Linked DNA regions of Pelodiscus sinensis. The protein of the gene in region 1 interacts with the protein of each later gene in a pairwise test. Links are inferred from orthologs where the notes say so. Each region holds a gene or a part of one and is shown in the gene's direction. Other genes may lie near its edges. The genes, in order: STAM2, KLHL42, ARRDC3 and LITAF.

Evidence for each region.
Region 2: the proteins of STAM2 (region 1) and KLHL42 interact in binary tests that used the Homo sapiens proteins (3 or more experiments, as listed by UniProt). The two-hybrid records come from large-scale screens. The link is inferred for Pelodiscus sinensis from reciprocal best matches to the Homo sapiens genes STAM2 and KLHL42.
Region 3: the proteins of STAM2 (region 1) and ARRDC3 interact in binary tests that used the Homo sapiens proteins (3 or more experiments, as listed by UniProt). The two-hybrid records come from large-scale screens. The link is inferred for Pelodiscus sinensis from reciprocal best matches to the Homo sapiens genes STAM2 and ARRDC3.
Region 4: the proteins of STAM2 (region 1) and LITAF interact in a two-hybrid assay, tested with the Homo sapiens proteins (4 studies listed by BioGRID and IntAct). The two-hybrid records come from large-scale screens. The link is inferred for Pelodiscus sinensis from reciprocal best matches to the Homo sapiens genes STAM2 and LITAF.

What each region holds. Positions count from the first base shown.
Region 1 is NC_134717.1:28,406,542-28,414,463, reverse strand, and holds the start of STAM2 (signal transducing adapter molecule 2), read left to right. Parts: upstream 1-4,492; 5' UTR 4,493-4,693; coding exon 4,694-4,733; intron 4,734-7,922.
Region 2 is NC_134711.1:129,725,355-129,733,686, forward strand, and holds the start of KLHL42 (kelch-like protein 42), read left to right. Parts: upstream 1-5,226; 5' UTR 5,227-5,369; coding exon 5,370-6,232; intron 6,233-8,332. UniProt on the Homo sapiens protein: Substrate-specific adapter of a BCR (BTB-CUL3-RBX1) E3 ubiquitin-protein ligase complex required for mitotic progression and cytokinesis. The BCR(KLHL42) E3 ubiquitin ligase complex mediates the ubiquitination and subsequent degradation of KATNA1.
Region 3 is NC_134716.1:74,019,236-74,026,732, forward strand, and holds the start of ARRDC3 (arrestin domain-containing protein 3), read left to right. Parts: upstream 1-3,955; 5' UTR 3,956-4,196; coding exon 4,197-4,476; intron 4,477-5,929; exon of another isoform or gene 5,930-6,310; intron 6,311-6,337; exon of another isoform or gene 6,338-7,174; intron 7,175-7,497. UniProt on the Homo sapiens protein: Adapter protein that plays a role in regulating cell-surface expression of adrenergic receptors and probably also other G protein-coupled receptors.
Region 4 is NC_134726.1:14,505,830-14,513,969, reverse strand, and holds the start of LITAF (lipopolysaccharide-induced tumor necrosis factor-alpha factor), read left to right. Parts: upstream 1-4,965; 5' UTR 4,966-5,151; intron 5,152-5,314; exon of another isoform or gene 5,315-5,446; intron 5,447-8,140.

The sequences.
Region 1 (7,922 bases):
CAGTTTTAACACAATAGTTTATTTTCTGAACAACTTCCTGAATAAACTTAAAAAACAACAAATAGTCTGGTAGCACTTTATAGACTAACAAAACATGTAGATGGTATAATGAGCTTTTGTGGGCATAGGCCACTTCTTCAGATGACCCGAGTTTTGAGTTTAGGATGTCCAGACCCAAAATAAACAGGGGAGAAGGGAAAGGGGGAAAGGAAAAAAATGGAAGGAGGTGGGAAAAAAGAAGCAGACGGTATGTAAATATAAAAGGGAAAACCAAAAAAGCAAACCTGGTAATCTATAAGCACCTAAAAATTGGATAGTTTAAAGAAGCAGATAAGGATCACAGTATAGCACTTAGAGAGTAAGAGTACTAGCACAAGAATCTACACAGATAAAGAGCTGTTGGTACAGCTCGTTATCCTGTACAGACTAACTCGGCTACCCCCTGAAGATACTGAATAAAGTACAATCACTGAAGTTGGCTGGCTATTGTAAGTCACTCTGTCCTCCTTTTACATAAACCAAAAAAGAAACTATATATCAATAAAGGTGTCACAGGACGATTTGATGCATATGTGGTACACTTTGACACATATCACATGATTTTACACCCTTCACATTTATGTTTTCTGTCATATGCAATATTCAAATATATATTCACTTTGTCCTCTTGAGAAACACTAAATGAATTTTGATATTTTGTTTAACTATGAAATTAATTACAAAAGAATTAATAATTTACTCATCACAATTGATCCTGTAATTCTACCATATATACAGAAATACTTAGGAAAAAATAGTGGCTCATGAAAATTTCATATTAGTTAGATGAACAATAATCAGTCATCCCTGAAAACATTAAGAATCTTGTTCTGAAAATACAGGAAATTTTCACCATTCGTGGTAGATGTGTTCCTGGCACTACCACAAATGGCAAAATTTGCAAATAATAAAAGTGGCCATGGCTTCCAGCCCAAGTGGTGAGTTCCCTGTGGGGCTCTGGAACTCAGTGTGCAGACTAGTATCAGAGGGGTAGCCGTGTTAGTCTGAATCTGCAAAAGCGACGAGGAGTCCTATGGCACCTTATAGACTAACTGAAGTGTAGGAGCATAAGCTTTCGTGGGCAAAGACCCACTTCGTCACATCTGACGAAGTGGGTCTTTGCCCACGAAAGCTTATGCTCCTACACTTCAGTTAGTCTATAAGGTGCCACAGGACTCCTCGTCGAGTGTGCAGACTGTGAGCTGTGGGAAACCCACTGCATGTGCTGGGAGCTGCGTTGAGATCAGGAACTGCGGTGAACTCACCATGGCGTCTGGGAACTAGAGAGCTCCCTGCGTCTCTGGGTCAGATCAGAGGTCCATCTAGTTCAGTAACCTGTCTTCCGACAGTGGCCAATGCAAGGAGCATTGAATGAATAGAACAGGTAATCATCAAGTGATCCGACCCCTGTCACCCATACCCAACGGCTACATCTAGACTGACATGATTTTCTGCAAATACTTTGAACGGAAAAGTTTTCCTTTCAAAGCATTTGCAGAAAAGAGTGTCTAGTTTGGCATGGACGCTTTTCCGCAAAAGCACTTTTTGCGGAAAAGTGTCCGTGCCAATCTAGACACGCTTTTATGCAAAAAATGCCCCGATCACCATTTTCGCGATCGGGGCTTTTTTGTGCACAACAAATCTGAGCTGTCTATACTGGCCCTTTGGCGCAAAAGCTTTGCGCAAAAGGACTTTTGCCCAAACGGGAGCAGCATAATATTTCTGCAAGAAGCACTGATTTCAGACAGTAGGAAGTCCGTGTTCTTGCAGAAATTCAAACGGCCAGTGTAGACAGCTGGCAAGTTTTTCCGCAAAAGCAGTTGCTTTTGCGGAAAATTTTGCCAGTCTAGACACAGCCAACTTCTGAGAGGCTAGGGACACAATTCCTACCCATACTGGCTAACAATCTTAGATGGACCTATCCTCCATGAATATATCTAGCTCTTTTCTGAACCCTGTTAAAGTTCTGGTTTTCACAACGTCCTCTGGCAAGGACATCCATAGGTTAATTGTGTGTTGTGTGAAGAAATACTTCCTTTTGTTTGTTTTAAGCCTGCTACTTATTAATTTCATTTGGTAAGCCCTAGTAAATAAGTTTTCCTTATTTACTTTTTCTATACCAGTCATGATTTTATAGACCTCTATTATATCCCCCCCTTAGTCTCCTCTTTACTAACCTAAAAAAAGTCCCAGTTTTATTAATCTTTATCCTATGGCAGACATTCTAAACCCCTAATCATTGTTGTTGCCCTTTTCTGAACTTTTTCCAATGCCAAGATATCTTTTTTAGATGAGGTGACCACATCTGCATGCAGTATTCAAGATATTGTCATACTATGGATTTATATAGAGGCAATAAGATATTGTCTTATTTTCTATCCCCTGGTGAATCACTGGATAAAGATTGCTTGAGTACAGGCCAATAACTTGCTTACAGCCATCTAACCCATACTTTTCGTGTTGTTAATAATCATTTGTTAACGCTTATAAACTATTTATAAATATACATCATATAGTGTGCCACAAAGAAAAAGGTGCAAAGAAAACAATTATAACCAAGAGCTTACAAATGCACCAAATAATAAAGAAGCTGACAATTCTGTGTCTTAAGTTCTCTCCAGTGATTATCTCAAATGCTACAAGTAACCAGTGTACAGGCAGTTCCCGCACTTACGAACGGGGCTTTCTCGCCCCGGAGCTCGCAGGCAGTGGGACCGCCCAGAGCGCAGCGGTCCCGCCACCTTGACCTCCGGGGCAAGAAAAGCTGCTCCGGGTGCCCCTGGTCTGCTGGGGACCGCCGCCGCTGCCGCTTTGCTCCTGGTGCCTCTGGTCTGCTGGGGACCGTCTCCAGCAGACCAGGGACACCCGGAGCAAAGCCGCAGCGGCGGCGGGGTCCCACGCCTCTGAAGCTTTGCCAAAGCAAAGCCTCAGAGGTGCGGCACCCTGCTGCCGCTGCGGCTTTGCTCCCCGTGTCCCTGGTCTGCTGGGGGGGGGGGGGCGCAGCTAGTGCACCTCCCCCCCCCCCAGCAGACCAGGCTTTTGTTGTGGACTCTGCTGGGTTGGTCCTGCAGGGACCTACCTGGCAGCCCAGCTGTTCTGTCCCAGGCTCGAGATTCAGCCGCTGTTGAAACTGATCAGTGGCTGATTCCAGGAAGCTGGGGGCAGAGCAATTCTTCCTCCAGCTTCCTGTAGTCAGCCCCTGGTCAGTTTCAGCAGCAGCGGCTGAATATGGAGCCAGTTCCGACTTACATACAAATTTAACTTAAGAACAAACCTATAGTCCCTATCTTGTACGTAACCCGGGGACTGGCTGTACTGAACTGACACAGAAGGGTGAGGGCAGGGCAGTCTTGGGTGGCATGGCAGGGTGGCAGTGGAATTGGAGTGTTTAGGTAACTTAAACATTTTTCACTGTGGCCTGAGAATGCCAGGGACTCTTGTTTGTGCAAGCCAACAGAGGAACAGGGGATCATACTACCTCCTCACTTTGCACCCCACCTTTTGCCCCAGAGAAATCCCATCTCCCCTTGCCACCAGCTTAGAGGCCCGTCACCAGTCAGAGCCCCCAGCAGGTACTAGGGATGTAAAAGAGTAGTTGAATAGTGGACTAGCTGATAAGCTTTATCTGGTAGTTGAGTCAACTACTCACATTCCCAGCCTGATGCCTCTAATCAGAGGCCACAAGGTCAGGGGCGGGAGGAAGCAGGGGAACGCTAAGGGGAACTCGCTTAAAGAGATTCTCCCCAGCACTGTCTCCTAGTGTAGTGGGATGGCAGGGCAGGCAGTGGCTCTACCTTTCCAATGTACGAAGACCTGCCTGGCTGGCTCCAAGTCCAGACCCGCTGTGGCGCTGCCTTTTAAACCGGTAACAAGCGTCTGGCTCTTGCTCCGTTTAAAAGGCAGCACCGCAGCGGCCTGGACCCGGCAGGAGGCGGTGCTGGGTCCCATGCTGCGCCTCCGCCTTTTAAATCAGTACCACAGGCAGAGCCGCAGCGGGGTTTCCAGCTTGCGCCCCCGCCGGGAGCTAACCCAGCTGCAGGGTAGTAGGGGCTGGGCAGCAGGCGGGTTGGCTACGTGTAACCTGCAGCGCCACAGTGGGGGCAGCGCGTGCCCCCCCCATCGATTAATGGACTAGTCCATGGACGTTCCACTGAGTACTCGGTTGCCGGCCATTAGCACCCCTAGCAGGGACCTTCGCTCTGTCGTTCTCTGGGACCCGAGACTGCACAAGAGCAGCCCGACCCCGCCCCCCCCCTCCCGACAGCTTCTCTGCCTGCACCCCCCCTCCCCCCGGCTCGTTGCTAGGCGGGAACTCTCCCTCCACAGCGCTTGGCAGGCCCCGCCTCCGGCGGCCCGAGCGCGCGGTGCCTCTCTCAGTGCCTGACGTCGCCGTGTCATTTCTTGCGGGGCCAGACCCGGGCGGAGGCCGCTGCCCTATGGCGGTGGCGCTCTCTGCGGCAGAGGCTTTGGGTCGCTTGGCCGCGGCTCGCCCTTTTGGTGCAGGCGCGGCGCGGGCGCCTGTTGCGAGCGGGGGGGCCTGCGTGGCGGCGGGCGGAGCAGGAAGCGGCCACGGGCGGGGGAGGGGCCACGTCTGAGAGCTGCGACTCACCTGAGAGGGGAGCAGGGCCTGGCTCGCCGCGGGGAGGCCGCCGAGATGCCGCTGTTCGCCCCCAACCCCTTCGAGCAGGACGTGGGTGAGCGAGCGGGAGTCCGGCCGCGGCGGGGAGCGGGGCCTGTCCGAGTGCCCCTGGGCGGCGGGCGGGGGTGTGTCGGGGGCGCCGGCCGGCCCCGGGGGAGCGCTGGGGCGCTGCGGGGGGGAGGCTGGGGACCGTGTTCCTGCCGGGCATGGGGTGGGTGCGTCGGGGGTGACCGGGCGCTGCACAGCTGAGGGCTGAGCCCTGTGGCGTAGTTGGGTGCGGAGGCTGGTGACGGATTAGAAACGCAGCAGGGACACGGTCCCCGGAAACTGCCCTGAGCACCCCCCCCCCCCCAAACGTACCGGGCACCTGCAGGCACAAGAGGAGACACGAAACGCGTGTTGCTTCCAGCGACTCTTGCTTGTGCGTAGCTTGGCCGGCTTCCCGGAGGGGCTCTCTTGGCTGCCAACTTCTCTTGTCAAGGGGTGGATTTCAGGGAATTCCCGTGTTTAACGTCTCCGACCGTGTCACCGGGAGCTGGGATTTCAGTCCTGACAGCGGTTCTTGCACATCTACAACTTTTCTTGAAACAAAACCATTTTATAACACGTTTATACAACACAACTGGAATGTACATTGCAATGTTGCTAGTATGTAAATGCTGACCAATAACAAGGCCCCTGCCCCACGTACTAGTTAGCTTATTTTTTCCTTCGTAGTATGTAAAGACCAGCATTATAATAAATTACGGTAAGGGTCTGATTCATGGACAGTGATAATTTTTGAAATTTAATCATTTGGAAACTGAGAGATGATATGAATGCTTAGGAAGTTGGGAAATCAGTGGTACGGTATTCCATACTACCTAGTTGGTGTCGGTCCAGAGTTAAATTTCTGAAATTCAGAAATTTGATAGTGTTAAACCAAGCTGTAGCATTTATGAAAAAAATACTTTTTTTTCTGATATGGATCAGTAAACAACTGGAGTAGATGCAAGCCTAGATGGCTTGTGATAATCATTGAATGAAAATTGTATATACTACTTTCTTTTTGGCTGCAAGTCTCAAAATGTTGTGTTATATTAATTTAGGAAGTAGGGATGTTAAATTTCTATTAAATAACTAATCAACTAGTTGATGGGATTTCCATTGATTATTCCATTAGTCAATAAGGACTAGCACTTTCTGCCTTTCAAAGATTGAAATGACGTGTGGAGCCTGGGATGAGTGGGGGACTACCTGCTGGCCCCGGGCTCCACGCGGTGTTTCAGTCTTTGCAGTTCACAAGAGCTCTCTCTGGGGCTCTTGTACATTTCAAAGAGGTGGTGCCACATGGAGCCTGGGGCTAGCAAAGGACTCTGAGCTCCCTAGGCTCCCTGCAGTGTTTCCGCATTGAAATGTACAAGAGCTCCAGTGAGAACTCTTGTACATTTCAAAGGCTCCATGCAGGCTTCCTCTTTGAAATGTACAAGAACCCGGGGTGGGGCTCTTGTGCATTTCAAAGTTGGAACACAGCTGCTGCACTCCTGCCCCCTCCTACAGAGCTGGAGCTGGTGGGAACTGGTTCTTTGTGATAGAGGCAGCAAAGGGGGGGAAGTGACTAGTGTGTCGACTGTCCAATAAGCTTTTGCTTATCGGGTAGTCAATTAGTCGCTTACATCCTTAGTAGGAAGATGCCTAATGCACAGGCAACAGTTTAGGAAAAGATACCATGGCAAAAGTGTAATTAGGACATTTTGTTGCTTCAAAAATCTTAATGCCCTTTTAGACTTTCACAGATAATATGTAAAAGTGACGCTGCATGTATGTAGTATCACTTTTTTTTTTTTCCATAGTACTTTTTCTCCAAGGATAAATGTAATTTGACTTCGTAAAAGCTTTTAGGTAACTGGCATGGACTTTTGTAGCCCCTGGACGGAGGTTGACCACTGGTGGTAGGCCTCAGTTGTACTTGCTGGGGAAATCATAGTGAGGTGCTACAAGCTTTTAAACCCCTAGTCCAGTATTTCTCACAGTGAGCTGTGGGCCTGCTTTGGTAAAGCCTCTAGCTTCCTGCACTGCTTTGTTTATCTAAGGATCAGAAGCCACAGAACCTCATGGATCCCATTGGCTCCGGTTTGCCTTGGGGATGTAAACTACTGGTCGAGTAGTCAAGTCACTACTCCACTAGTTCCTTCCCTTCTCTCACAGAGGCAGTGGGAGGTGGTAGAGCAGGAATTGGTACTGGGGGGAGCTATCTTAAAACTGCTACTTAACATCCCTAGTTTGCCCTTGGCTGGAAACAGTGAACCAGAGCCAATGGGGGAGCAGTGAGGCTCTCTGGCTACAGACCCATAGATAAAGCTGCAAGGCCCGCTGTCCACTTTGAGAAGCACTGCCCTAGACTTAAGTGTTCTTGCTGTCATTTGGGGCTGTGAGTCTGTAACCTTAAGTGGGAGCCCTTGAAGAAGATCAAGTTGATATGAAAGCAGCTATGTACGCAAGTTTGAATGGCATTAAGTGGCACATTTATTTGGCTTTTCCATCTCCAGAGATCTCGGATGAAATCACTATTGAAGAATATTGGTCAGATTTTCACCCTGGTTTCAATGTCTCACAGTAAAATGTCTGGTGGAAGTGAATTTGATGACATTTACCCATGTTACAAAGTGGTCATGTAGTTCTATTTAGAAAGAGCCACTGAGGGCGTGTCCAGCTAGGGATAAAAAGCCTACAGCTGGTCAGCATCAGCTGACTCTGGATCACAGGGCTTATGTTTCCGGGCTGAAAAATTGCTGTGCAGAGGTTTGAACTTGTACTGGAGCCTGAGCTCTAGGACTTTGCAAATGGAGTATGGTGTCCCAGTGCTCGGGCTCCAGCCTGATCCCAAATATTTACACAGCAATTTTTAGCCAGTTTTTGAGCCTGGGCTAGGTAATACGGTCCACCGCTGACTTATTGAACATTAAATTTTTAGCGTAGACTAATCAGAGGTAAATGTAATGGCAGGGGGGAAACAATTCAAAAGCTTACCAGTTTGGTATAAAAACCCATTAAAACTTAAATTTGTTTTATGGGGACATTTTAAATAGCATTCAACATTCATGTTTTTTCGGTAAATTCTGAAATATTCTACACTATATTTTAATGAAAACTGCTCTATATGCTCTTCTACTATTTAAGCTAGCAGAATGAAAGAAATGCTAACCATTTTTTACTTTAACTTTTTTTAACTAGTGTGCTTATGAAAAATATTCCCTTTTTTTCT
Region 2 (8,332 bases), on another chromosome or scaffold:
AAAAGGGAGTTATACTTCATAGAAGGAGGTTTACCAAAGGCAGAAAAAGCCCTCTGTTCTGCTGTTTTACTCTTGATTTTCTTGCACAAAAGCGCATGTGAGATGTGGACACGCCACGGGTTTTTGCATAAAAACCGCTGTTTTTGCACAAAAATCTTGCAGTGTAGACATAGCCAAAGAGGCTGTGAGTGTGGTACAGCCCCCAAATCTTACACTTCCCACTCTGGAGAGACTTAGTTCAGTTCCAGCTATTAGCCCAAATGATAGCTGACCTGGAATTGAGTGAGGACTTGTCTGGGATTCAAACCAGCATAAGCCTAAGATACTTGGGACAAACTTCCTTTGTTTGTTCTCTTTGGGCTCCCAGAGAAAGGATGTGACCCACTCATCACAGTGTATATTACATGTCCACCCCTATACCCAATCTACAGAGGATGTCAATATGTTACAATTCTCAGCTATATAGCCTGCCTCTTTAGCTTAAGCTGTAGAGACTGAGGCTTTTAGCTCTGGAAGTCCCTGATTCAGGCTTCACTACAACGATCTATCAGAAAAAGGTATACAAATTGCAGATATTCTGCAGATAACCTGAAAATGCTTAAATGCTACTGATGGGGAGGAAAAATAAGGGCATGCCTTTACTTCTATTACAATACCATGGTCTAGTAAAGTTCTTGGAAGGTGCAAAGTGGAAAAATAGTAAATATGTAGCTAATAAATGGCTATCCATTCTTAATACAGCTATGCCTCCAGCATGTCAAGAAGGGTTGCTACTAGGGATGTAAGTGACTGGTCGACTACCCAATAAGATGCTTATCAGGTAGTTAAGTAGTGACTTGACTAGTCACTCCACCCCACCTTGCTGCCTCTATCAAAGAGAGGCAGCAAGGGGGGAGCAGGAGCCTGTGCTGGGGTGTGTGTGTGTGTGTGTGTGTGTGTGTGGCTTAAATGCCGATTTCCCCAGCACCATCTGGGGAGGCAGAGGCATAGCTGGGATCGGGTGCAAGCTTGGAATCAGCTGACTCCCAGCTTGTGCCCAGTCCCAGATGCTGTGCATCTCCTTTTTAAATGTATTAAGAAACACCAGGCTTTTAATGCATTTAAAAAGCAGAGGTGCAGTGGTGGGACAGTTGATTCCCAGCTTGCACCTGGTCCCCTGCTGCAGTGCTGCAGTTTCTCCCCTTATCAATTAATTGAGTAGTTGATGGAAATTCCATTGACTACTCAATTAGCTAATTACACTTAATTTAACATCCCTAGTTACTACCTCTACATATTTCTGTGAACATCCCAAATCTCATGGTGCAATCCAGCACCCTGCAATCCAGCCTTGGGTAATGCCAAAATACCCCAAGGTATCTTTTGTAGCCTGGGAGATTGTGACATACACAGGGCATAATTTACACTACCGAGTATCTGTGTCACTCCTGCTTTCTAACTTGGGATGCAATTTACACTGCTTTACTGCTCCAGCCTCCAGTCATGGCATGCCTGCAGTCTCCAGCATGTAATTCACTCCCGTCTGTGTAGGCAACCTGCACCTATTTTGTTACCCCAAATAGAGTTTCCCAGATTCTTCAAACACACTCGATGAGCTAAAACAATAAAACAAGTTTATGAATTACTTGCACTCAAACTGTCTGTAATGAGACATGAAAGTCAAAAATGGTTACTAGAAAAAGATAAAAGGCAAGTAAAGAAAGCTAAATTCCAAGTTAAGTTTTTCGAACAAGATGTTCTGAGCAGTCAAACTGTTTAGGCCAGGACCCTTTCTCTAGGTCCATGGTTGCATCATTTGTTCTTTCTGGTGCAGTATTCAACAAAGGGAGAGGGAGAGACAGGAGAAGGAGTTGTTTCCCCTTCCTTTTTATAGTCCTCTTACCTACCTTTGAGATGCATTTCCAGGTGGAAGCATTGTGACTGGCAGTCTGTGCAGAGAGCATATAATATCCATTGGCCTTGTTTATACCTGGCTGAGGTGTCAACTTACCCTTTATCTCTGAGGCATTTGTTTGACCATTCCTTAGACCTGGAACATTGTTAGTAACAACGTACTCTTGAATAAAACAACTTTACATACAATGTTCCCACATGCATTTTACCATGACAACAATGACCGGCAAATTGTTAGTTTACATCACACAGATTGTTACCAAGGTGTGCAAGGTATGAACATGGGGGTACAATCTGTCATAGAGCTATCACACTTTGATGAGATATTTGTATGCTGTGCTATGCTGATTCCCATTCCCCACCTTCTGGGTACAGGACAAACTACACAAGCTGATAGGTCTTTTTCATTTTCAATGTATGTCACTCCATACTCCTCACATGTGATTGTATTTGCATTAATATATATATGGAGATATACCATCTCATAGAACTGGAAGGGACCTTGAGAGGTCATCGAGTCCACTCACTTGCCCTTACAGCAGGACCAAGTACCATCCCTTAAACTCACTGTCTACTTTGCAAATACACCGTGTTGCATGCTTGTGACTAATCACATTAAAATAAATTAAATGTATTTCCATGCAAGAGGCTAAGCATGTGCTTAAGTGTTTACAGGATCTGGGTCTAAATTGTAAACTCCTTTTGCTTCTTGGCTTAGTTTTTCAATACTTTTTATTTTCTATCACAAGGAGTACAACCACCACGGAAACAACAAAAGAAATAATCAGACTACTCCTAACTGGACAACAATATGCTAGCCACTCCCAGGTGTGTTATTGTAACTGCAGTCTGCCAGTCCTACCGTGGCTGTCCCCAGCCTTGATTATAGTGTACAGAGTCTCCACACACTCAGTGCCAGACCATCCCTGGATATGTCTGTCCTGCTCTGTCTAGCCCTTCTCCAGACAGACCAGTTATATTACGTTTGTTATTCCTTTAAGACAGGGGTGGGCAATAATTTTTGGCTGGGGTGGGGCCTATAACAGAAAGGGTGGGGCCAGGATGCTTCCGGGCTTCCCCACCCACAGATCATGATTGGTCGGGGGTGGGGGAGCCTCTTTGCCCCCCCCTTCCCACTAAGCACCCATGCCCCTGGCAGGACAGGAAGAGGCTTTGCACACTCCCCACCTCCAGGCCAATTAGAGCCTGGGGGCAGGGGAAGTGCATGAAGTTTCCTCCCCTATGCCAGGAGCATATAGCACTTTGAAGTGCCCTGTGCTCCTGGCAGGGTGGGAGGAGACTTCACGCATTCCCCTGCCCCCAAACCCTGATTGGTTGGGGGGCAGGAGAAGTGCACAAAGTTTCCTTCGGCCTACCCACGCCATGCGAGGAGCAGGAAGCACTTGAAAGTGCTGTGTGCTCCTCGCAGGGTGGGGATAGAGCGGAAGAATCTTCATGTTCTCCCCCGCCCCCAAGCAAGGCACTTCAAAGTGCTACATACTCCTGGCAGGACAGAGGAAACTTGGTGCGCTTCCCCTGCCCCCAGGCCCTAATTGCTACAGCTTGGTGGGCCGGATCTGGCCTACGGAGGCCCTTTTGCCCACCCCTGAGCTAGAGAGAGAAACTGTGGAACTGGTCTTCATATGCAAAGCTGACACCTTCACACAAGGACAGAACAAAGATATTAGCTAGATGGGCTGTTATATTCAACACCCAAATGACATCAAAAGCTAAGGATCAGACACAGCCCACTCTATTAGACACATTTAGCATGGACACTATAGTTGACAGGGTTTCTGCCTACCCCCACCTCCCTCCTTTTTATCCCTCTGTCCTCTCTTTTTCAGCTTAAAATTTTGGATTTCTGTACTTCTCTGTGGCTCTTGCTCTGCTCATCTGAAGAAGTGGGTTGTGCCTACAAAAGCTCATGACACTGTATAACAGCGTTTCCTAAACTGTGGTCCACGGCCCAGTACTGGTCCTTAGGAAAAAAATACCAGGCCTCAGAAAAATGTTTGCGAGAGCCCGCCTCACGGCCTGCAATCCACAAGATGAACTCTGCACTGAACTCCCAGTGTCAATGGAGGTAGCACAGGCTTCCTGCGGGATAGGGCGGCAGTTCTGCAGCTGCGTACCAGGTTCCGGAAGCGTGTGGGCTGCTCTCCCCCTGCCCCAACAGCCGGTACAGTACCTAAAATGCCGGTCCAGCGCATGGTGGGGACTTTGTTCCCCTGCTGCCTTCCCGTGCGCAGGGGAGTGGGTGGAGATCCGGGACTATGCTGGCTCCAGCTGCTCGGGCGGCGCATGCTGCCATGGAGAGCAGAGGAGCTAGGTGTGCACTGCCCAAGCGGTTGGGGCTGGCACGGTCCAGGACCCCGCTGTGCAGGAAGGCATCAGGCATGCAACAGACCAGCGTGTCAGGTACCGTGCCACCGTTTGGAGGACGGGGGAGCAGCCCGCGCACTTCCTAGGCCTTGGCAGCTATAAGATCGCCAGGTATCGGTCCTGGTCCTGTCCCCTCCCCCCCCACCCGGACCCATACAATACCCTGCCCCAGTACCCACAAGTGCTCTGTCCCTTGCCCCAGCACCCGCAAGCATCCTCTCCCCTGGCCCAGCACTCATTGGCACCCTTCCCCAGAGCTCTGTCCTAGCACCCACAAACACAGTTGGGATCACATTAGTGAGGTTTGAGGGGTTATGTTTTTGTATCTCACTTGTGTGGCCTGGACTGACTTTCTGTGGGCTAAAGTTGGCAATGGGGTCTTTGGGAGGACCAGAAACAATTTATTTGCATATTCATCATCTGCTTAATGAATATGCAAATAAACATTACTGGTCCTCCAAAAGCTTGTGAATGGATTTACTGGTCCCCAGTCTGAAAAAGTTTGGGAACCTCTGCTATATAATGTTTTTGTAAGTCTCTAAGCTTATACAGGGCCACTCGTTTTTTATTTATTTTTAAAGGAAGCATGTACATTTTCATTTTCTTTTGATGAATGAGTTAAGGACCCATCCAATGCTGGGTAAATCTGCTAGTGAGGTATAAGAGACAGAAAAATAAAGCCGAAATTCTTTCCCCATTGTCAGAAGGTCTAAAGGTCTCTGGGCTCTGCGCGGTGCTGCTGAGCGACTCCCACCCGGGAGGGACCTGTCGCGGGACCGCCAGGGAAGGCAGCTCGGGGCTGAGCTCGGCCCCCGGTGCTCGCTAGGACGAGGGGGGCGGTGCTCCCGCCAGGCGCACGGAGCAGAGAGCGACGTTTCCAGGCCCTCCCCGGGCTCCTCCCCGGCCGGGAGCTGGGGCCTGGAGACGCTGGGGCCCCGGCCTGCTGCAGCGCCCCGGCTCCAGCATTGCCTTTTTAGGCCTGCGCGCCGCCGCGGGACGCAGCCGGGAGAGGGGCTGAGCCCGCCGCCACGGGAGCCACCCCCCGCCCCGCTCCTCCCGCCAGCCGGCGGGGCAGGCAGGAGCCCGGGGCCATGTCCCAGGCGGAGGCGGGGGAGGCAGCGGCTGGCGCGGAGGAGGAGGAGGTGGTGAGGATCCGGCTGGGGGACAGGTGCTACCCGGTGAGCAAGAGGAAGCTGATCGAGCAGAGCGACTATTTCCGCGCCCTGTTCCGCTCGGGCATGCGGGAGGCGGGGCAGGGGCAGGAGGAGCAGCAGCTGCGCGGGGGGCTCAGCGCCCAGGGGCTGGAGCTGGTGCTGGACTTCATCAACACCTCCTGCCTGGCCCGGCTGGAGCAGGAGGAGGGCGGGGAGCAGGAGCCCCCTCTGCTGGAAGAGCTGGTCGAGGCCGCCTCCTACCTGCAGGTCACCCCCCTGCTGCGCCTGCTCCTCTCCCAGGTGAGGCTGGGCAACTGCCTGGAGCTGCACCGCCTGGCCCAGGTCTATGGCCTTCAGGACCTGCAGGATGCCTGCCTGGGCTTCATGGCTGCCCATTATCATGAGGTTCTGCGGCGGCCGGAGGCCCGTCCCCACCTCCTCCTGCCCAGTGCCCTCAGGCAGCAGCTGAGGGAGAGGCGAATGAAGGGCACTGCCACCCTCCTGGCTATTGGAGACTTCATGGGTGCCTCCTCCCTGGGCCTGGCCCCATGCCGCCACCTGCAGGAGGAAACCCCTTGCTCCATGCTGAGGTATGATGAGGTGGCTCAGAGGTGGCTGCCCCTGGCCAGCAACATGCCCCTGGATCTAGTGAATGTCCGAGGCTATGGGTCGGCAATGATGGACAACTACCTGTTTGTCGTCGGGGGCTACAGGATCACCAGCCAAGAGATATCGGCTGCCCACTGTTATAACCCCTGTATAAATGAATGGTGTCAGATGGCTTCAATGAACCAAAAGAGGTAAACCCCCACATGGTGCATTACCAAGATATAGCATTTTGAGTTGGGTAGGTATAGACTAGACCCAGAAGTGCAGGGCCTGATTCACCACCTACCTGCATTTTGTGAAGTCAACACTATCAGTGTAAGCAGCATTTGACTGTCCCTTTTTCTCCCGGTTTGCTGATGTTAATGACAGTACTCGAAGAGATGATTAATAGGAATGTAAAATCCTGTTTAATTAACCGGTTAAACATTAAGTTTAATCACTTAACTGATTAAATTAAAGTAGGGTGGGGACTCTCTGCCCTGTGGGCAGGGGCTGCTTCAACCCATCTGTTTCCGGCCCCACGCTTGCTCAGGGATGGAAGTGGGGAAGGAGGAGGGGAGAGAGAGAGAGGGAAAAAAGAATGCATGTATGTATGTCTAGGGGGGGATGCTTACCAGGTAACCCATTTAGATCATTAGTGATCAATCGGGCCTTTAGGGTCTAGTTTTCTCTGTAGTCTCCAAATATCTGTCTTTATTTAAAAAAGAATTTCATGGTAAAATAATGAAGGTAAAATTCTCTTCCTAGTCAGTGCATGGGGTCTTTTGGCTCAATAATCTGGTCTTCCACATATAGGAGTCCTGTTGGCATCAATGGATCCATGCATGTAAGGAGTACAGAACATCAGAGTCAAGATTGACCAAACAGGTTCTTATTTGTATTGTGGCATTTAAACTTTGTGGTAGGCTCTGCACACACCTGCTATAAAACCACAGTTCCTGCTAGGGATGTTACATTTAGATTAATTAATTAATTAATTAATCATATAGTCAATGGGATTTCCATCCACTATTCGATTTTAGTCTATAAGGGCACTTCCGCCTTTGAACTGTAGCAAGAGCTCTGCCAGGTATTTGCTACAGTTCAAAAGCAGAAGCCCCGTAGGGAGCGTGAGGCCAGTGGGGGACTGGCCCTGTGCTCCCTGCGGCGCCTGAGTCTTTGAAATATGCACGACCACATGGAGCTCTTGTACATTTTAAAAGCAGAATCACAGCAGAACTGGTACGAGTGGAGACTGCTTCAGACCCTGCTCACACTGTTTCCTCTGTGTCTGTACCTTCTCTGCCCCCTCAGAGATGGTGCTGGGGGAAACCAGCTTTTAAGCCAATTCCCCTCAGTCTTGGCTCCTGCTCCTCCCCTGGGGGAGAGGAAGGGGGAGTAATTAGTCACATCCCTAGTCCCTGCCCAAGAGAATTTACCATCGAGTATACCCAACAAAAATGTTTGCCTTGAAACTGGTGCCTTCCTTTCTTTTTGCTTCTTATATTGTTTTAAAAGCTGATGAAGTTGATCATAACTGTATTATAATTGTCAGTGGAAGTGGCCCATACAACTCTGTATTTTTGCAATTAGTGTTTATTGATTTTTTCATAAAGAAAAAGATAATGAAGATCAGAAAAAAGGCAAACATCTTAGTTTGTACATGTTTCTAGATGATGCATGCTCCATAGGATCATTGATAGAAGTACAGGCAGTCCCCGGGTTACGTACAAGATAGGGACTGTAGGTTTGTTCTTAAGTTGAATCTGTATGTAAGTCGGAACTGGCATCAGCCACTGCTGAAACTGATCAGTTTCAACAGCCGCTGAATCTGGACACCAGTTCCACTTACATACAGATTCAAGGTAAGAACCCCAGGCGTCCGCAAGTCAGCTGCTGCTGAAACTGATCAGCAGCTGATTCCAGGAAGCCGAGGGCAGAGCAACTCTGCCTCGGGCTTCCTGTAGTCAGCCGCTGGTCAGTTTCAGCAGCGGCTGACTTTGGGACGCCTGGGGCAGAGCAGCTCGGGTGCTGCTGGCTTGGTCCAGTAGCACGGCCGCTCCTCGGAGCTACTGGACCAACCCAGCAGCACCCCAGCTGCTCTGCCCCAGGCATCCTGATTCAGCCACTGCTGAAACTGATCAGCAGCTGAATCAGGACGCCTGGGGCAGAGCAGCTGGGGTGCTGCCTGGTTGGTCCAGTAGCGCCAAGGAGCGGTGCTGCGGGACCAACCAGCAGTGCCCCACCTGCTCTACCACAGGCCCCCGGCTTTGCTCCACGTCTCCCTGGTCTGCTGGGGGGGCACTAGCTGC
Region 3 (7,497 bases), on another chromosome or scaffold:
GGCACAGAAGTCCAGGAGCCGACCTTGTCCGTGAATACAGAGGCAAAGAAAGCATTGAGTACTTCAGCTTTCCCCACATCATCTGTCACTAGGTTACCTCCTTCATCCATTAGGGGCCACACACCCTCTCTGATCACCTTCTTCTTGTTAACATGCCTGTAGAAACCTTTCTTGTTCTCCTTCACATCCTTAGCCAGTCGCAATTTCATTTGCGCTTTCGCCTTCCTGATAAGCCCCCAGCATTCTCGAGCTATATCTTTAAACTCCTCCCTGGTCATTTGTCCAAGTTTCCACTCTTTGTAAGCTTCCTTTTTGTGCTTAAGTTCACCAAGGATTTCCCCTGTAAGCTAGTCTGGTCTCCTACCAGGTTTGCCTCTCTTGCTACGCGTCGGGATGGTTTCTTTCTGTGCCTTCAATAAGGCTTCTTTAAAATACTACCAGCTGTCCTGGACTCCTTTCCCTTCATGTTAACATCCCAGGGGATTCTGCCCATCAGATCTCGGAGGGAGTCAAAATCTGCTTTTTTGAAGTCCAAGGTATGTATTTTACTACTCTCTTTTCTTCCTTTGGTCAGGATCCTGAAATCTACCATCTCATGATCACTGCTTCCCAGGTTGTCACCCACCTCCACTTCCCCTATTAGTTCCTCCCCGTTTGTGAGCAGAAGGTCAAGCTGCGCACGGCCCCTGGTCGGATCCTTCAGCACTTGTGTCAAGAAGTTCTCCCCAACATTCTCCAAAAACTTCCTGGATTGCCTGTGTACTGCCGTATAGGTTTCCCAGCAGATGTCAGGGTGATTAAAGTCTCCCAAGAGAACCAGGGCCTGCGATCTAGAAGCTTCGCTCAGTTGTCCAAAGAAAGCCTCATCTACCTCATCCACCTGATTCGGTGGCCTGTAGCAAACACCAACCACAACATCAATGCTGTTGTTTGCTCCTTTAAACTTTGCTTCTCTTCTACCTGGAGAGCTCCCTCTCTAAAGCCTCACTCAAACAGGCGGGGGGGAGAAAACCCACCACCACCACACACCAAACAAACACAAGCTCAGCACACAGTAAGAAAGCCCCAATAACAAAACACACTTCCCTGAAGAGTCCTGTATCTGCTTCTCCTTCACCTGGAGAACTCCCTCTCAAAACTCCCTGTTAGCACTCACCTGTTCGCAAGCTCCTTGGTCACTTGCCCACTGCCTTATAAAGTCCCTCTCCCTACCAAGGCTCAGCCAATCAGCAGAGGCTTCTAGAATTCAAACTTTAATTAGAAGCCAACAGTTTCCGCCAGCCAATCACAGCCAATCACAGCACAAACTCCATCAAGGGGAGGGGAGGTGGGAAAAAAAAGCCTCACTCTCAAACACAGGGGGAAATAAATAAATAAACAAAAAACAAAAAAGAACACACACCAACCCTCACTCACAAACACAAGCTCAGCACACAGCAAGAAAGCCCCAAACACAACACCCACTTCCCTCAAGACTCCTGTATCTGCTTCTCCTCTACCTGGAGAACTCCCTCTCTAAAGCCTCACTCAAACAGGGGGAAAAAAACCACACCACCACACACCAAACAAACACAAGCTCAGCACACAGTAAGAAAGCCCCAATAACAAAACACACTTCCCTCAAGAGTCCTGTATCTGCTTCTCCTTCACCTGGAGAACTCCCTCTCAAAACTCCCTGTTAGCACTCACCTGTTCTTTCCCCACTTCTTTCCCATACTGTGTTGCCTAGTACAGTAGTCTGGGAGGTGACCTTTTCTGTGAAAACAGATGCAAAAAATCATTGAGTACTTCAGCTTTTCTCTCAAACCTGACCTGCTCTCAAACCCCAGAGGATCTGCAAGAGGCTAGTGCCTTGAGGCTCAGCTACATGGACTACTCTAGGTCATGGTTGCCCCCAATATCTCAGGAAAGATATAACAAAAGAAAACACGGACCGGCTACGTCTAGACTGGCATGATTTTCCGGAAATGCTTTTAACGGAAACGTTTTCTGTTAAAAGCATTATCAGAACAGAGCGTCTAGATTGGCATGGACGCTTTTCCGCAAAAGCACTTTTTTCCTTCCGCCATTTTCGCAATCGGGGCTTTTTTGCGCAAAACAAATCTCAGCTGTCTACACTGGCCCTTTTGAGCAAAAGTTTTGCGCAAAAGGGACTTTTGCCCCAATGGGAGCAACATAGTATTTCTGCAGAAAGCACCGATTTCTTACAGTAGGAAGTCAGTGCTTTTGCGGAAATTCAAACGGCCATTGTAGACAGCTGGCAAGTTTTTCCGGAAAAGCGGCTGATTTTCCAGAAAAACTGGCCAGTCTAGACACAGCCACCAAGTTTATTAACTTTTCTGCTGGATTTTTGTAGGAGGGTGCATAGAGGTAAGCGTATATATGGGCCAAACAGTCCTACAGCAGACTAGAGACTTATTGATGGGATTCTGAAAACTAACAGAGGAGAACAGTGATAGAAATGTAGCCGTGTTAGTCTGGGGTAGCTGAAGCAGAGGAGAACAGACCCACTGAAGCAGACGATCATCTCACTCCACAGGGGAAGGAAGATCTGTACCTGGAAAGGAGCCTTTGCACACATATTTGTGAGTAGGGGAACAAAACCACAGTGTCAAAAAGAAATGAAGTACCATTGCAAAGTGCCTGTGAAAATTTCCCCTATTTGCCACAAGATGGTGCAGAAACATAAAATGTATTAAGACACTAGAAGACTAAAAAGCAAAAGAATTTCCACCAGGTGTCTGCCAAAGGAAAATTTGAAAAACTTCCTTAAGAAAATAATATATTGGCACAATACTACAAAGCAAAACTGTTTCTCTGAACTTTATTTTAGATACAGAATTTACACAACCATAACTGTCAACACAAATTAATCTGTTTAATATTAACCAATTAAATTATATATCATAATGAATTGCTTATTTCAATAAACAAGGAACTTGGAAAAGAAATGTAGCATTTAATTTAATCTAGACAATTTGGTTAAGCAATGACAATATTCTCTTGTTGTCAGTATTTAACCTTTTTGTTCTTTTATCTATATACAAAGTTGCACCAATTCTCACAGAATGTTTATTTTACAAAATTCTCTCTGTAATATACTTAGCCAAACCTTTTTGAAGGGTTTTAAACTCTGCTGTATTTCTACAGGTGGCACAGCATACAGAAGTGGAAATAATCTGAACCAAAAAAATGCAGCTGGTGTCTGTAATTGGCCTAATTGTATATAGGAGGGAAGCACTGAGGCTAAAGATCCCCCTTCCCTCTTTTTCCTGTTAAATATCAACTTTAAAAATACAGGAGAGGTAAGAGAAATTTCCAATGGAACAGGTTGAAATTTTGTGGGGTGCCTCTCTTGGTTTCCAGGACCAGATTGAAAGGAATGGGAGGGATGGAAGAGAGATTTCACTGAAGCTGGTGGATTTCATCCCATTTTCTGCCAAGATGGTTTTTTATTTCCAGCTGAAATGCTTTGAAGAGCAAAATATTTTGCTTTCTGGAATGCACCAGATATAGTCATTGAACAAGCTCCTCTTTGGGATGAAAGATGTCCCAGATCCCTCGATATGTGCCTTATTTCCCTCTAACCTCTCTCACTCCCATTCCAGCACAGTACTTCCCAGAAGCAAACACTTTGGGAGGTTTGGGCTTGTGGCTGTGTTCTCTATCAGCTGTTTGAAGCATTAGCTCTCAGTCCCCCATTTCTCTCTATTCCTACGCTATAATATAATGCTCTATGCCTGGTATTAGAGGCTATTTGGTACAAATCTGCATCCCGTTTAAAGAGTTTAGGGTAGCGGACACACTACGGGAGACAGAATGGAGTAGACGCTAGCTTCTGTTCCACAGCAGGCTCGTCTTCTCTGCTACACCTATAAGGAAGAGAAGCAGCAGCAGCCCGCTCATGCGCACTCCGCTTGTTTTTCACAAAGCTAGTCTTAAGTGAGCTGGCTGGCTGCAACCAGCCCGTCTTTGTACAGAGACCACAGAGCTGGGTAGTAGCTACGAACAGCATCTAGTGCTGTTACTTTTTAGCAATCCCAATGAAGTGTTTGTAGAGAATACACTGATCCTGCCGGCAAGCTTCTTGCACGGCAGAGGCATTGATCAGTGTAAAGTGAAGATCGCATTTTATGAGATCTTGACTTTTGTTGTTTTTTTCTTACAATATATTTTTATAGACTTTGTTATAAAACATGGTGCTGGGGAAGGTGAAGAGTTTGACAATAAGCTTTGACTGTCTCAATGACAGCAATGTCCCCGTCTATTCTAGTGGGGACACAGTCTCAGGAAGGGTCAATTTAGAAGTTACTGGGGAAATAAGAGTAAAATCTCTTAAAATTCATGCAAGAGGACATGCAAAAGTACGCTGGACAGAATCTAGAAATGCTGGATCCAACACTGCCTATACACAGAATTACACTGAAGAAGTAGAATATTTCAACCATAAAGACATCTTAATTGGGCACGAAAGAGGTAAGTCATTGTATTACTCTAGTCGAAATTATATACAGTCATTTTGGATGCAAGTAGGTACGGCTTTGTATTTGATTGTATGTACATTTACTGTTAAAATTGTACTGAGATGCAGCTGTAAAGTGCATACAAACAAGACTTTTCCCAACTACCTGCTCTTAAACAGAGCCTCTTTCATGCGCACTTTCAATACATGAGGGTTTCATTTTTAATGTAAACATACTTTTGTCCTATGGATTTGCTAGACATTAGAAGATTTTTTTGCTTCCCTTGAGATATTAAGAAAAAACAGAGTCAGAAATCAGATGTGTAAATAATTTTTTTTTGTAATCTCGTCATAAGTACTGAGATGAATTAATGCATAGACTTCTGCTTTTGACATTTATGGAAACAATTCCAATTTTCAAATAATATATCTGATAACCCTTCAGTGATGGGTAATTGTTGGCAGATAAAGGATTCCATGTGGTTTATTTTGACATATGCAGTCAGCACTCCACGTGTGGTTTTTTTCTTTCCTTGGCTTTAAACAAAGTTAGTAAAAGAACAGATTTTTTTTAATACACTGTATGTCAGTGAGACAGCTGTAAAGAAGTCTGTCTGAAAGGCCACTTAGAGTCCATTATTATATAATTAGACCATCATTTCTAAGTTAAGGACTTCTGGAATCTGCATTCAATGAAGCCTCTTGTGCCAGCCCCAATGGAAATGAAAAGTACTGTAGAAAAGGATCTGATTTAGGTTAGGAAAAAGCCATTTTAAAGAGAGGAGTGGGTCTTCTGATTATTCATCTATTGTTTGAAAGGTTGCATAGTGGAAGTATAGGAGACTAAGCTTGTTTTTCTGAAGTTTCCACCCTTTGTTAGAAGCGGTTCAATCCTGTTTGGGACCAGTACTAGGGAGTGGGAGGGGGGTGCGCATTCTCTCCTCTCCGCAGATTGGTTTACACACGTCAGGTGATAGCGATGACTTAATGCTTAGCACAAGAAAATGTTAGAAGTGTTTATGTAATTTTCGGCTCTTTTTACATCTGTATGCAGTATATTTGCTGCAGAGATGTGTGTATTTCCCCCTTGCCTAAAAAAGAAATATCAATAAAGAAGTTACAGTGTTCGTTACACTGACTCTAAATCGAGTATTTTACATAGGCATGGGAAGGATTTCAGTTATGTTAGAAGCAGGTAAATGTAATTGGTAGAGGCATTGAACTAAAAGGCTCTTTATTTTCTTACCGTGCAAACATTTCGTCTATGCAAAGTGCATTTGCCTTATACCCTATTTTCTATCCCAGAACCCACCCACACCCAGCATAGGCGCAAAAATGCATGCATCGTTCCGCGTGTAGGGTCACAAATATGTCCAGAGCTTTCTAATGGCAGTTTTAAAAGCAGGAATGACTTTGTATGTATGAGTATGTATCTCAAGCGTCTCTCCACCAGTATCACTCACATACCTCTGTTTGAATGGAAAGCAGGAGACGAAAGCTGGTAGGGAAGGTGGAGTAGATCTGAAGCTTGCAAATGAGAAGCACTTGTAGATAAAGCGCAGTGTGTGTTGCGTAAACCGTGATTTGTGCTTTCACTTATACTGTGAGCTTGGAGCAGCTCAGCCAGCCGCTCCATCTGCAGCACAGGCAGGCGCTGCTGCTAACAGTGGGCTGTTGCTGAATGGAAAAAAGGGAGTTTCAATGACTTAGCTCGGGCACTTCTCAGCCTAGCCTGGTAACAAGAGACCACGCCCAGTGCTCTCAGTCATTGGTCTAGTGGGGTTTGTTAGCCTGTTGCTAAGGCGATGCCAAACGCTAATTGGAGGGAGGGAAGCTGGGTGGAGCGGGAGGAAGAAGAGTCGTTTCGCCACCCGGGTTGCAACGTGCGACGCAGAGGGGGTGCCACCGGCAGCCACTTATTGCTGCTCGGGGCGGGAAATTATCCTCCCGGGGTCCCGCTCGCACGGCTTGGGCCCGATCCTGGGAGCGGGCCCTCCCCCCGCACTCTCACTCGTCCCGCGAACCGGCGGAGGGTGGCAAATGCCCCTCGGCGCAGAGGCCGGGCGGGTCTCGCTGCCGGCTGTTAGGTGCGGGCGGGCGAGCGGCTCTGTCCTGGCTACACTGCTCCGCGGGGACGCCCCGGGGTTGGGGCTGCCTGAGGGTCCCCAGGGAGGCGAAGAGAGTCCTCCCCGCCGCCCCCTGCCCGCGCTTTGCCATGGCGAGCCCACCCCGGGGCCGGGTGGTGTTAGCCCAGCGGCACGGGGCGCCCCGGCAGTAAGGAGCCGGGCGGCGCGCGAGCACCACTGCCCGGCCGCGTGCGAGGCGGAAGCCCAGGCAGGGGGCGGCTCCCCCGGCCTGTCAGGTTGGGTTGCGCGCGAGGGAGGTGCTGAGCGAGGGCGCTCGTGTGATGTTCACTGCCTGTACGCGAGCGGCTGGCTGGCTGGGGAGCTGCTCGCGCCGGTTTAGGCCGGTCCTCTCCTGCTCCAGTCTGGTCTGTGATTGACAGCTCAGCACTTGTTTACCACAGTTTCGCTGCTGCTGCGGAGACTCAATGGGAGTGCTGAGCTGGCAGAAAGGAGGAGAAGGAGAGAAACTTCGGTGCCAGGAAATGATTCAAATCTAGAAAAGGATAAAGACTGAAATGCCCTTGTGAAAATCCAGGATGCAGTTTCAGTGACACCGCATGCTGGAGATGGGCATAAATCTCCCCGAGTAGGTTTAGATGATCTAATCCTGTAGATATTATGCCTTTTATATCACTTTTTAAATTTTTTTGGTTAAATGGAAGTCGAGTGCAGCACACATTTTGGGAAGCAGGGATGGGAAGGATAAGAACAAATATCTAAAAAAGTCTTCTATTTTTCTGCCCCTCTTTTTTTTTTTTCCGGGGAGGGGGAGGGTCAGGCTCCCAAATGGTCATTGATGAATAGAGATATACCAGTCAACTCCCTTCATTTGAGTTATTGCTGGAAAACTTTTGCATAGAAGTATTTATTTTGAACTTCACCAAATATTCCATTTTGAGGAGAGTCTGT
Region 4 (8,140 bases), on another chromosome or scaffold:
AGAGTAACCTGTGGCTCCCATTATTTCCTGGATTATAGTTGTAGAAGACAAAGAAAAAAAGAGGAAAAACTTAAAAACCAACAAATACTCTAGCACAGGGGTCTTCAATCTTTTTAACCACAAGATCACTTTTTCAATTTAAGTGCAATGTAAGATCTACCTCAAACCCAAATATTCTTGACCGGCTTCCTTCCTCCCACTTCTCTGAGGCCCCGCCCCTGCTCCACCCCTTCTCCGAGACCTCACCTTGCTCACTCCATCCCCCTTCCTCCTTGAAACTCATCCAGTTCCACCAGGCTAGGATAGGAGGTTGGGATGCAGGCTCTGGTCTTGGGCCAAGGGGTTTGGAATGTGGGAGGGGACACCCTGAAGATAGGGAGGTGGGGTGGATTCTGGAGTGGCCTAGGGGATAGGGCATTTGCCTGGGGAGCACAGAGTTGGAGGTCCAAGTTTCTTTCACACACACACATCCTGTCCACACACCCTGGGAGTTACCAGACACACAACACAGGCTGCCCAAGGGATGGAGCTGTCTCTTGTATTAGGAAGACAGGATAAGGGACCTGCTGAAGGTAGGGAGGTGGGCTGGGTTCTGCAGTGGCCTAGGGGATAAAGCATTTGCCTTGAGAGGGAAGGGTTGGGGGCCTGAGGCCATCCCCTACCTCTGGGAGCAGCATTGGAGTTATTTCGGCCCTAGCCCTGCCCCACTCCTTAGAGCAGCTGGCATGTACAGCAATGGCTCCACAGCTCCAAGTGCTTCCCCAACCCCACAGCCTCTATTGGCCACAGTTCTCCATTACTGATCAATGGGAGCTGCAGGAGCGGAGTCCACAGGCAAGGACAGCTTGAGAGACCCCCTGCTCTGACTCTCTCAGGGGCGGCAGGGACATGCCAGTCACTTCCAGGAGCACAATTACCACAGGGATAATCACTCCAGACATGACAGGTTCAGCGTTTTAGAACACACTACTCCAAGAATTAAATTTAGGCATAAGAGAGAAATGAAAGTTATGCAATGCACAGACCAGTCAAAAACTAAAACTAACCCACTTTGCAAGCTGTAAAAGTAGTAACAACCCCCCATGTATGTGCTGGGTCAGGAGAAAGGGAAAGACAGTGTGTGTTTGTGAGAGTGACAGAGACACACACAGTGTGTGAGTGACAGAGATTTGCATTGCCAAGCTCCCTCCGTCTCCTTCTCTCTGTGTGGAGATGGGATACAGGAGTGGGGGGAGGAGGGACACCCTGACATCAGTGCCCCCCTTTTATCCCTCCTGTACCCTGCACAGCAAGCAGGAGGCTCCCAAGGGGCAGCTCCAGGCAGAGTGCAGGAGCAGCATGACAGTAAGTAGAGAGACACCTGAAGTGGCAGCACTTGGTAGCTTCCTGGTCAAACCAGTCAGGGTCACCTGTCAGAGGCTCCAAGATCTACTGGTTGGTGACCACTGGTGTAGCAGCACCTTAAAGGCTAACAAAAGGTGCTGCTAGACCAGTGTTTCCCAAGTAGTGAAAATTGGGGTTCAGCGAGAAAATTCCATTACAATAACATTTTATGATTTTAAAAAATATATTTAAGCATTTCTGAATTTTATTGAAAACAATTTTCCTTTGTGTTTGCCACAGTAAGTGTCCCTGTGTAATGCCAGCTTAGCCAGAGAGTGGTGACGATGATATCACTACTCAGCGCTGCGTGTGCAGTCAGTCACTGATGCTATCGCCTGTTATATACCACTATAAATTCCCGTACTCATTCTCAGGGAGTGTGGATCACATGGGTGACTAAATATGAATATACTAGCACCATGTCCAACAAAGTCCAAGCTTCAGCTGTCAAACCAGTTGTTATTAGGGGTCCAGCAAAATTATTTTGAGTTTAAAAAGGTTCCGTGACCAAATAAAATTGGGAAACACTGCGCTAGACAATTTGTTGATTTTTAAGTGTTTCCAGTTACAGAATAACTCAGCTACCCCACTAAAGCTTTTGAAAAAAGAGGAAGTAAACTATGAGTTGCAGAATTAGCCAAAAACAGGCACTGATGTATCTGTAGAGAGGCTACAAAGACTGAGTTTAGTTACAATGAGTAGTCCCGTGGCACTTAGCAAAAACATGTAGAGTGTCATGAGCTTTCATGGGCAAAACACACTCCATCAGATGAGCTTGAGTTTGGTTAGTTACATTTAGAAGTCAACAAATGGCTTCTATGTGGACACCCACCAATGGACGTAACGAAAGTCTTGATTTCTACATGTACTGCTTCCGCAAATGCATTCAAGCTGACATTATCAGCAAATAACATAAAACATATCTCAGTCATGCACAGCGCAATGCTATTCACAGCCTCAAAACCAATCCTAACATCATAATCAAAGAGGCCAATAACAACACTGCACACTTGATTCCAGAGCTCTGTAACTTTGTCCTCACCTACAACTACTTCCAATTCGGAGACAATTTCTATCTCCAAGTCAGTGGCACAGCCATGGGCACTCGCTTGGCACCACAGTATGCCAACATCTTTATGGCTGACCTTGAACAATGTTTCCTCAGCTCTCGCCCCCGAACACCCCTACTTTACTTATGCTCCAACGATGACATCTTCATCATATGGACCCACGGAAAAGAGACTCTTGAAGAATTCCACAAGGATTTCAACAAACTTCCACCCCACCATCAACCTCAGCCTGGACCAGTCCACACAAGAAATCCACTTCCTGGACACTACAGTACAGTTAAATAATGGACAAATTTCCACCACTCTATATCGGAAACCCACTGACTGCTACACTTACCTTCATGCCTCCAGCTTCTATCCCAGACACATTTCTCAGTCTACAGTATACAGCCAAGCCCTAAGATACAACCAGATTTTCTCCAACCCTACAATCACCTAAAGGATCTTTACAGAGCATTCCTAAAACTGAAATACCCACCTGGAGAAGTGAAAAAACAAATTGACAGAGCCAAAAAAGTACCCAGACATGAGCTACTTCAAGACGGACTCAAAAGAGAAAATAATAGAACTCTTCTTATTACCTATAGTCCACAACTCAGACCCCTCCAGCGCATTATACACAATCTGCAACGCATCTTAGAAAATGATCCCTCACTCTCAGAAGCCTTAGGAGAAAAGCCTATTCTTGCTTACAGAGAACCCCCCAACCTGAAACGAATTCTTTCTGGTAACCATGCCATACAACCATATCATAAGCCTCCAGGAACCCAGCTCTGCAACCAAAAATGATGCCAACTCTGCCCACATATCTATACTGGCAAATTCATCACTGGAACCAACAACATAAGCTACCAAATTAAAAGGTCATTTGACTACACATCCAGTAATTTGATCTATGCCATCAAATGCCATCAATGCCCCACTGCTATATATATTGGACAAACTGGACAGTCTTTGCGGGAAAGCATCAATGGACACAAATCAGATATACGTAAAGGAAACATACAGAAACCTATTGGGGAACACTTCAATCTTCCAAATCACTGTTTAAAAGATCTTCAAGTAGCTGTCTTTGTCACAAATCAGTGCTACTAGCCAGATCCATAGAGAAGCATTGCAATTAAAATACATTGGCAAATTCAATGGGGCACTAGCAACTTAACAGCCGTTGAAGGTGCAAACAGCTCTACTACTTTTCAGGAAGGATACTATCTATTGACTTTGATTCTTATTTGCTTTAACTACCCAATTTTCAGATACTTACTGATTCCTTCTAGCTTCCTGTCTTTCACCCCCCCTTCTTTTTTTCCCTCTCCCCTCTCCTTCCCATCTCTTATTTATTTTGGGTGTGCGCATCCTACACTCATAACTCCGGTCATCTGAAGAAGTGGGCTGTGCCCATGAAAGCTCATGATACCATCTACTTGTTTTGTTAGTTTATAAAGTGCTACCAGTCCATTGTTGTTGTTTTTTCTGTAACAGACTAACTCTGCTACCCCCTGAAGCATTTAGAAGTCAGCTTGCTTTTTAGAGGTTTATCTTGTTTAATGGGTTTCTTTTTGTAGACAGGAACACTGAAACCATCTTCCTATTTCTCTCTAGCCACATCCATTATGCTATGAATGTAAGTTTTTAATTTGACTGTGGAATGTGATCTCCTTGCCTGTGCCAAAGGACAGGGAAATCTCCCTTTGTTGGCTCACTTTCATCTTGAGGTGCCTCACAGAAGGGGACATGGAAACAAGTCAGAAAACAGTGCCAGGCTGTTTCATTCAGGCATCAAAATATTTCTTTTGGCAAAAAATAATTGGAGTCTTTAGAGGAATGATACTTAGTGATTACCTACATTTGTTTGCTGATGGGAATTATTTTGCTGCATAGTTGTACCTATTAACATAAAAAGAAATACATTACAGAATTTGGAAAAGGAATTTTCCTCTTGTTCAAGTTACTTTGTGTTTTGCACATAAAATCTGATAGTTACTTTTGCTGATACAGTAATTTGTAAATCTTGTTGTTTTGACTTTTTAGCTTAGGAAAAAGCTGATTTGCAATGAACTCCAAGGTCTTCCAGATAGTGTTGAGCTGGAACTTGGCAGGTTTTTTCCAGATCAAGTAAATTCTTTGGTAACTGAACATACCCTTCTGAACAACCACTTGTGTATCACTATCAGACACCTGAACTTTTACTCTCCAGAAGTTCAACTTTTACATTTCTAAACCCTTGCCTCAGTGCTCTTGTGGCTTGGTTTCGGGTTGCCCACTGGAAGGCTGGCTCTGGAACACTGTTCTCGTGTTCTGTACCGAACAAGTGACCACAGCAAGAACAGCCTTAAGCTAAAGGCTGGACGGGTCCAGGCCATGGGCAAGTTTCTAGGCGAGTCCCGAGCCCACGCGTGGTGGCGGGGGAGACAGAGCAGGGTTCCACGTGGCTGGGGCGCTCGTTCCCAACTGCAGGGGGAGCCCCCGACCGGGCTGCCAAGGGGCAGGGCAGGGTCCATCGCTGGGCGGGGCCGCTCATTATCTGCCGGAGCCCGCCCCCGTCCCAGCTGCGAGGCGGGGGAGGCGAGCGCCAGGTCGGAAAGAGGGGCGGGGGCGAGGAGCGGCCTGTCCGGGTGCAGCTTTGTCTCCGCCACGCCAGTCGCCAGAAACTCGGGCCGGGAGCGCAGTGAGCCCAGCTCAGCCCGGGCAGCGGGAGGTAAGAGCAGCGCGGCGCTGCCCCCCTCGGATCCGCGCGCCGGGCAGGGGCGCTCCTGGGGTCTCGCGCAGAGGGGGGAGTCCGGCGCCGCTTGCCCCGCCCCCCAGCGCGGGCCCGCGGAGACCCCGGGACACGGCGCCCCGTGGTGCCACGTGGGGGGGCCGGCCAGAGGCTTCCCCTCCGGAGCGGCCCCGCGTGACACGCCCAGGCCCCCTGGCCACGTTACCAGCCGCGGGGTGGCGGCTCCGGAGAATCGGGGTGAACAGCGCGGCCCGGCGACTCAGATACGGGAGCGGTAAGTGGGCCGGGACGCGGCCCCCAGCCCAGCCCCTCGGACCCTTCGTGCTGCCCGCTCGCACAGGCGGGTCGGGCGGACTTTCCTCTCGGTGCCTTCCAGGCGCAGGCTGGAGCGAGCTGCCTGGGGTTTGTCCGCTCTTCGGAGGGACTCTTAAGCGAAACCAGCATTTCAGTATGTGCAGCAATCCCCTCCCCGCGGGCGCGAGGTGCCGTTCCTGTCACCTTGGGAGTGACTCGGCCGCTTTTCCTCATCTTCCTGTTTGTTTGCGCTGGAGCTGGAATCCTCTGGTTTGGGCTAATTGTTTTAATGCTGAGCTACTAAATCAGTTCACAACTTGTTAAGGTTTAGTTTGAAAACGTTTAATGTCAACAAGTGACACTGAAATGGGCTTCTCTGGAGGCTTGTCTGCTCTGAGAGTAACTATTCCTATGGAGTAGTGATAGAAATGTAGCCGTGTTAGTCTGGGGTAGTTGAAGCAAAATGCAGGACAATGTAGCACTTTAAAGACTAACAAGATGGTTTATTAGATGATGAGCTTTCGTGGGCCAGACCCACTTCCTCAGATCAAATAGTGGAAGAAAGTAGTCACAACCATATATACCAAAGGATACAATTTAAAAAAATGAACAAATATGAAAAGGACAAATCACATTGCAGAACAGAAGGGGGATGCGGGGGGGTGGGAAGGGGGAGGAAGGAAGGTAAGTGTCTGTGAATTGATGATATTAAAGGTAGGGAGAGTGGGATGTTTGTGAGTTAATGGTATTACAGGTGATAATTGGGGAAACTGTCTTGGTAATGGGTGAGAAAGTTCAAAGACTTGTTAAGTCCTTGTTGGTAAGTGTCGAATTTTAACATGAATGACAGTTCAGAGGATTCCCTTTCAAGTGCAGATGTAAAAGATCTTTGTAGCAGAATGCAGGTGGCTAAGTCATTTAGAGAGTGTCCTTTCTGGTTAAAGTGGCAAGAAACTGTTTTCTCTTTGTGATCTTGTCTGATATCTGTTTTGTGGGCATTAATCCTTTGGCGAAGTGTCTGAGATGTTTGTCCAATGTACATAGCAGACGGACACTTTCGGCACATGATAGCGTAGATTATATTTCTGGATGCGCAGGAATATGTGTTCTTGATCTTATAACTCACTTGGTTAGGTCCAATAATGGTATCAGCAGAATGAATATGTGGACAAAGCTGGCAACGGGGTTTGTTGCAAGGGAAGGTACCAGGGTTGGTATTAGTGTGGTATGTCCTGTGGTGGTTGGTAAGAATCATCTTGAGGTTAGGTGGTTGTCTATAGGAGACTATGGGTCTGTCTCCCAGAGCCTCTTTGAGTATGGTATCCTGTTCCAATATAGGCTGTAGTTTATTGATAATGTGTTGGACAGGTTTAAGTTGGGGGTTGTCGGTGATGACAAGTGGTGTTCTATTGTTGGTTTTCTTGGGTCTGTCTTGAAGTAGATGGTTTCTAGGTATTCGTCTGGCTCTTTCAATTTGCTTTTTTGTTTCTCTGGGTGGGTAGTTGAGATTTATAAATGCTTGGTAGAGATCCTGAAGCTTCTGGTCTCTGTCAGTGGGGTTAGAGCAGATGCGGTTGTATCGAAGGGCTTGGCTATAGACGATGGATCGTGTGGTGTGTTCTGGATGGGAGCTGGATGCATGTAGGTAACTGTATGAGTCAGTGGGTTTTCTGTAGAGAGTGGTGTCTAATTTTCCATTGTTGATTTGTACGGTGGTGTCCAGGAAGTGGATCTCTCGTGTAGAATGGTCCAGGCTGAGGTTGATGGTGGGGTGTAGGTTGTTGAAATCTCTGTGGAATATCTCCAGTGTTTCTTGGCCATGTGTCCAGATCATAAAGATGTCATCGATGTACCGTAGGTAGAGGAGGGGTGAAAGGGGACGGGAGTTGAGGAAACGTTGTTCTAGGTCAGCCATAAAGATGTTAGCATACTGTGGGGCCATGCGTGTACCCATGGCTGTGCCGCTGATCTGGAGGTATAAGTTGTTCTCAAACCGGAAATAATTGTGGGTGAGAACAAAGTTACATAGGTCTGCTATCAGGTTGGCAGTAGTGTCCTCTGGGATAGTGTTTCTAATTGCTTGTAAACCGTCTTCATGTGGGATGTTGGTATATAGAGCTTCTACATCCATGGTGGTAAGGATGGTATTATTGGGGAGGTTATCGATGTTTTGTAGTTTCCTTAGGAAGTCAGTAGTGTCTCGGAGATAGCTGGGGGTATTGGTTACGAAGGGTTTGAGAAGAGTGTCTACATAGCTGGATAGACCAGTAGTGAGCGTGATTTGTCCTTTTCATATTTGTTCATTTTTTTAAATTGTATCCTTTGGTATATATGGTTGTGACTACTTTCTTCCACTATTTGATCTGAGGAAGTGGGTCTGGCCCACGAAAGCTCATCATCTAATAAACCATCTTGTTAGTCTTTAAAGTGCTACATTGTCCTGCATTTTGCTTCAACTACCCCAGACTAACACGGCTACATTTCTATCACTATTCCTTGTGCAGGCAATCCTTAAAACTGGTACTGGAACACCACAGTGTACACAAGGTAAAGCAGGAAAGTTGACACAAAAGCATAAGTTCCTGAGTGTAAACTTTCATTTAGAAGCGTGGTGTGGTGTACGATGACTTTTCTGAATGAGAGTAGCCACATAGGAGTCAATAATGTGCTTTAA